2 linked regions of the Nothobranchius furzeri genome follow. The protein of the gene in region 2 binds, or shares a complex with, the protein of the main gene of each other region. Links are inferred from orthologs where the notes say so. Each region holds a gene or a part of one and is shown on either strand. Other genes may lie near its edges.

Region 1 (2,543 bases), on a different chromosome or scaffold from region 2:
GAGTGAGGAAAGTAAACATTGCTCACACACTTCTAAGAAAATTGACTTTTGAAGATTTTTTGGAGCTCGTGGGTCTGCTTGTATCAGATCAAAGAGCTGAAGAGATAAAACTTGTGAACAGAGAATACCTTAAAGCAGCTTAATGAAGCCTGTTTATACCTGGACAGGGGCTCTAATTCATGTTCTGTCTGTCTTTACAGCAAACAATTCCTTCATTTATTCAGTGAGTGAATTTTACTTACTATAACATCAAATTTCGAGTAAATGTCCACTACTCGACCTGGAAGACATCGACAGAAGACAAAAAAAAAAAAAAAAAAACTTGAGATCTCGGATTGCTAGAAAAACCTAAATAACAGAGATAAAGATTTCAGCCAGCTCACATACCTTTGTCATCCACAACAGGGAGCGCCGACACTCGCTGCTCCACAAAAATACCCAGCGCCGTGTACAACGGTGTGTCTGCATGAACCACTGCTATGCTTCGAAACGTCCCAATATTCAGCTCCTCTAAAGTCTGGCTTAAAAACGAAGGTTTCGGCATCTCTGATATCTGAATACAAGAGAGTAAACGCTTTATTGTGTTTTTACATATAATCATTATTTCATATTGTACAGTGTGACAAACTAGCGATCAAGAACCTACAAAAAGCTTCAGGAACTTAAGAATCCTCTTGTGGGTGAGGATGTACAGGGTGTTCCCCGTCAGAGGGTCAACTACAGGCAGTCTGTGGATCTTGTTCTTCAGCAGAGATGAAACGGCATCATACAAACTGCGACACAAAAAGGGGAGAAAGTTGATGGTGCTCAGCTTATTGCCAGAAAATGGCTTCACAAGATGCTTATGCTCGTTTATCAGAGGTGTCTCAAAGAGAAGCTCAAGTACAAACGTAGACCAGTTTTATAAAGTAGAATTAATACAGAAATTAAAAAGCATGAAATAATACAAAGTCTATAGTAGTTATGCCAATATCGCTAAATGTAGAAGATGAAAGTTCAGCTATTATTCATCATACTGTTTTTAAACCCGTATATGTTCACATTTTTAATTTGGCCATAAAATCTTAATAAATAAATAAACTGCTGATCCACTTCAGTAGTACTGCCACTTACCTTGCATTGGGAGATATGCTGACTAGAGGCTTGAATGAATCCTGCAGGTACAGTTCTAACATAACCAAGAAGAAAAGATAGCTCACCACAATGAATATCATATCAAATCTTCAGACGTGTGTGTTCAGTAGGGCTGCAATGATTAAACGTTCTGGTGATATGATTATAGTCGGAGACATAATCACGGTTTCACCAAGGTTATTTATGGGAATTGATTTCCCATCTGTATTAGCTTATCACACACACACACACACACACACACACACACACACACACACACACACACACACACACACACACACACACTTAGGGTTTCAAACTCTAGAAAATATTTATAGAAACACAAATTGATTGATACACGAAAGGAGATGTTAAATTCCTACTAGTGCATTTGTTGTTATGAATAACCCTGAATATCCTTTTAAGGCATGGCACTGCAGGAATTTTGCAGCATTTGTGCCACCATGCTTGGTAGGATTATTACAGCAACACCTGACTTATGAGTGCTTATTACGCCTTGGCGCAACAGAGGAAGGTATCATGATCACGTGGAGAGTCACTGCTTAGCTCCGGCAGGATCCTATATTAAAAAAGAAAGTAAACACAAGCGATATGTTTCACTTTTGTACACAGAACCAGCTGAGATGGGGCAGAGCAGAGCTCCAGGATTTTCTCTCCATTAGAGCTGGAGCTCAGATATCCTGACAGTTCACAGGGAATGTGAGTGACAGCCACCTTTAGGAGCAGCTTGTTAAAATACCTGATGAGCACAGCTTGGATCACAATAAAAAAACAGGTTATATCCAAGTTAAACGGAAGTCCAGTGCAGAGACCGCCCCCGTACACCCTTTATACCGATTACTAATGTAATTGTACCGCAAGTCTGGATTAACTGCCGTGTTTCACACCGTGGTTAATAATAAACAAACCAGGTAATCGTTGCAACCCTAGTGTTCTGTAGACATTCTCACCTCTCCATGTTTCAATTTTGTGTTCTTCCAACTCATATATCTGAACCTAAAGCATCACAATAAGAGAAAATAAATAATATCATTTGTTGACAAAGTCTTATATGTAACAAACAATCCCTGAAATTTATGAGCACAATTAAAAAGCACACAACATCTTACCAAAGGAGACTTGTAGTAGCGATGAAGAATGTTAATGAAGTCTGTGATGGTTAGCATACCTGAAGAGATGAAACAGAAGCAAATAAAGAAAACGGACATCTCTGATGTTCTTTTTATTTATGCAGAAAGTCAGTGAAACGACACAAGCTCTCACCAACAAAGCACTGCTTGTTACTGTCCCACAGGGGCGCTGCTCTTACCCCGTTAGAAACAAGAGCAAAGAACGCCTTCTTCACCTGGAAAATTATTCACTTCATCATTTCCAAATATATTCCACTAACATTTACAACCATGTTCATT
Region 2 (3,828 bases):
TAATTGTGTTTACTTCATTTTGAACACTCCACCAAACTCATGAACTATGAAAAAAAATGAGTATGCATTATGGAAAATGATAAAAATTAATTAGAAAAAAGATCCTATAAAAATGTATGTAAAAAAACTAGTATGAAAATGTGCAAATGTAATAAAACTACTTTTTACACTGACTTTCAAGTGTTATTCTGCTCAAAAATAACACTAATACAATTTTGCATTACTAATAAATCAAAATGTAATCATGAAAAAGATTCAAAGACAGCAGTGTGCAATTTATTAGCATTTATTAGGCAGTTGCGTATACAAATGATTCAACACTTTCATTCAGATTTACACTGATCAATCCGATAGGGTCCATTCTCACTCCAAACAAAAATAGAGCTTTTTTAAAACTATATGAAGCTGTTCTATCAGACACTGAACCGAACAGCCTTTTAGGACACTTCATTTTCTAAAAGCTGGCAAAAATTTGTATTTTTTGCACACATTCACCTGTTTTCAACAAAACCCATCATATAAGGCATGGCAAGTTTTGGTCAATGCTTGCAACTGCCCTCTAAAACTAACGTGAGTGTTAAAATTTTACAACGCGTCTGCAAGACCATAAAGTTTTCGTCTTCAAATGGATTCTTTTTTTATTAACTCTGGCTTAAAACTGAGATAAAGACAAACTAAACATTTTTGCCATACCTGCCATACAGTACAAGAAAATATGATCACAATTATCGTCACTCTTAGCAATTTTTGAAGGAGAATCATTAAATATCTAAAAATGTGTAGATACATTCATCCTGGATTTCAAAGATCTGTAGAGCCGAAACTGGAAAAATCCAAACGCTGACAAGTTTTAAACAAATATCTAACTTTTAGGAATTTTTTTTGGTAGAAATGAGAACTTCTCCAAAAAAATAAGTTACTTTAATTTACAAAATTAGAAATCAATTTTACATCTACTTCAGTTTTTCTTAAATTCCAACCATCATCTTTACAGGCAGAGATGAATTACAGCTATTTTGGCAACATGATCCCATGTGTAGATTATGCAGTAAAATCCAAAACATCTCTAGAATATCGGACTTAACTTGGTGAGCTGAGGCTGAAAATATAAAATATGAACTTCAACCTTTAAAATTGCAGAGGTTACCAATAATTCAGGCCAGCAAAGGGCTCAAACCTGACATAAAAACTGATAAACAGTACGAATAATAAGGCAGCCAAATGGACACCAGTGAAAACCTTTAAGACTAGACAGGAAATGGAACAAGATCATACATATCCAAGACTCTTACCTTGCAAATTCTTTTACTTATTTTGTTCTGTGCCACACGTTTACTAGCTCGCTTTTATTCTTCATCTTTCTCACCATTTACAGTACCAGCAATGATCTGGTTCAGGTTTAAACAAACGATGTGCAACCTTTAAAGGAATGTGTGAGCGAAACATAAATGATGTTGACGGACGCCGTTGACGCACTGCATTTAATTGCTGCTCGTTTAAAATTGAGCACAGAGGCCTGAACACACGTGACTGATTGGCATTTCATCAAATGAATGTAAGCAAAAGACATCCCATCCAGTAATCATACTCCATAATCCAAAAGAAAAGAAAAAAATCATAATCAACTTGTCACTGTAATAAACTGATAATGATATATTTCTAGACGTTGACCGTCGTTGCAAAACACCTTCTAAAAAGCAGACTAGTTCTCTAGAAAGACAATCAAGTATCTGAATAATTGTGATTGAGGGAAACAAAGGTGTGACACTGAATTAAAAACAGCTAAAAATGAGTATATATTTAAACATCCAGCATTAGAGCGTAATGAAAGAAAAAACAAGTCATTGGAACCAAAACTCCATCCACTTAATGCATTGATAAATATTTTCAGGTATTTATTTATAAAAAAAAATATAAGTCGGAGCTGGACAATCGGTCACAACGAGGACAGAACCATGAACATTTAGTCTTTGACATTTAACAAAATAAAACCCAACATGGAGCATTCTTAAGTCCCTGACACGTACCAGAACCACAGAGGCCACTGCACTAATGTGATGTGATGGGAATGAAACGCTGCGGCGCTCTGGGACGTCGGCACCGCTTCTCTGATCCCTACTGAGGAAAAAAGGTAATAAAAAATAACAAAGCAGCAGAAAATTACAGAAACTTGTGCAAAAGTGCTTCCTGCATCCTATGAACATCACTCAATCCTCAAACTGTGGCTCCGCCCCCTCCCCGCAGCAGGTAAAAAATAAAAAAAGTGATCTTGTTCTCTGTACTGAAAAGCAGGCCTTGCAGGCTACAGCACAGAACGTTCAGTGTAATCACTTCTGCGTAATTTGTAAGTTGGGATGTTGATATCTGCTTTTAAACAGATTGAGAAATTTAAAGACCTCCCCCTCCCCGAAATGTTGTTTCCTGCTCTAGCTAGCTGGGTAGCGTAATCTCAACAACTCCTAGAGACCCAGTCAGCTCTGTATGTTTCCCCTCTGCACAGAGAACACCAACCTGCATGAGCGCCACGGAACAATCACCTCATCCTCAGTTGGGATGAAGTAAGCCATGAATCTGTTCCATGCTTATTGCTATAAAGACACTCAGAGAAGAAAAGGCTAGCGATGATTGTTTTTGCAAGCTATCGTGCAAGTAGTTTAATAAGATTCGCGCACATTTCAAAGAACTCGATGGTGTGGCTTCCTGGTCGAGGGGTGTTCTCCCCTCCCCCCGTCGAGTCGATGGACGAGGTCGAGGATGACCCTAAGGACCCTTCGGCGGTCTTGGTGGGCTGCACAGTGCTAGACGTGGCTGAAACGTCCGCCCCATCGACATCGTTCTTAGTGGTGGTGCGGTAGTTGCTCACAGAGCCAGAGCGGAGCGGGGTAGCAGTTCCAGACTTTGTCTCCACCATTTCATCTAAATAAAAAAGAAAAACTTTTTTTTTTTTAATGTATCCAAAAACAGCTCAATCGAGACCAAACAAAGGTAACATTTGAAAGCCCGCATGGTAAAAGCTGTGTGTACAGAAAACACATCAAACTTCCCAAAGGCCAATTTAGTGAACCCTTTCTTGCTCACTGTCTCGAGTGAAAACATAAATCTAACAAGTCGTGTTTGACTTTGATGACGTAAGTCTAGTTTTACCTCAACAACCTTTATACAGCACGCCTGTCCCACATAAAACACTCCGAACATTTCCCTTTCAGGTCCGTTCAAACAGCACAGACTTCCAAAGCCTTGAGCTGCACGTCAATCATTTATGAAATCTTTAGCAAGGCTCCAAACTACAGATCAGCACTGCGGACACGCAGGGAGCCACGCTTCAGCGTCAGCGTTAGACAGCTTGTTGTTTGTTTGTTGGGGAATTCCTAAAAAAAAAATCTGACAATTAAAAAAACAAAAGTTTTGTAATAAAAACATTTTGATTCCCCTCCAGAGCTTTATACTTAGAAGTTGGGTTTCTTCTTGTAAATACACGAGTCAGACATTTTTGCCTTTTTTTCTTGCACAAGTCAAATATTTAACAATCACAGTTAACGTTTTTTCACTTTCTGATTTTTCACACTTTTCTTGCAAATGTCTAAAACAAAAATGAGGAAATGAAGAAAATACCTCCCAAAAAATGTGACGTTCCTGTTTGAAATAAAACATTTTCACATTGGGATTACACACTTTTAACCCCCCCCCCCCCAGCTAAATGAATAATATTTATAATCTGCAGCAGCCTAGTGCATGTAGGAGTCATATGTCTGGACAGCAGTCCCTCTCTAAAGGACACCGGGTCTTGGTGGGTTAATGAGTGAAGAAAAGCATCTCTGTGTTAAAGCT

What was found.
Region 1: the proteins of prkaa1 (region 2) and 5'-AMP-activated protein kinase subunit gamma-1 are in contact, whole or in part, in a crystal structure (PDB 6C9H), measured with the Homo sapiens proteins. The link is inferred for Nothobranchius furzeri from reciprocal best matches to the Homo sapiens genes PRKAA1 and PRKAG1. Residues at the interface, in NP_006242.5 of Homo sapiens: Ser295, Ser296, Thr297, Met298, Ile299, Asp301, Glu302, Lys305, Arg342, Glu347, Ala348, Phe351, Tyr352, Leu353, Arg369, His371, Pro372, Glu373, Pro376, Phe377, Asn449, Val451, Thr452, Thr536, Pro537, Arg538, Gly540, Ser541, His542, Thr543; in NP_002724.1 of Homo sapiens: His36, Asp40, Leu41, Ile42, Pro43, Thr44, Ser45, Val50, Leu64, Val65, Gly68, Val69, Arg70, Trp75, Ser77, Lys78, Lys79, Gln80, Phe82, Pro158, Glu159, Ser160, Gly161, Asn162, Lys170, Arg171, Lys174, Phe175, Leu178, Phe179.

Annotation. Positions count from the first base shown.
Region 1 is NC_091743.1:48,658,863-48,661,405, reverse strand, and holds part of 5'-AMP-activated protein kinase subunit gamma-1, read right to left. Parts: intron 2,480-2,543; coding exon 2,398-2,479; intron 2,303-2,397; coding exon 2,244-2,302; intron 2,131-2,243; coding exon 2,085-2,130; intron 1,169-2,084; coding exon 1,114-1,168; intron 774-1,113; coding exon 647-773; intron 554-646; coding exon 388-553; intron 281-387; coding exon 243-280; intron 1-242. UniProt on the Homo sapiens protein: AMP/ATP-binding subunit of AMP-activated protein kinase (AMPK), an energy sensor protein kinase that plays a key role in regulating cellular energy metabolism.
Region 2 is NC_091746.1:66,862,972-66,866,799, forward strand, and holds the end of prkaa1 (5'-AMP-activated protein kinase catalytic subunit alpha-1), read right to left. Parts: intron 2,917-3,828; coding exon 2,639-2,916; 3' UTR 271-2,638; downstream 1-270. UniProt on the Homo sapiens protein: Catalytic subunit of AMP-activated protein kinase (AMPK), an energy sensor protein kinase that plays a key role in regulating cellular energy metabolism.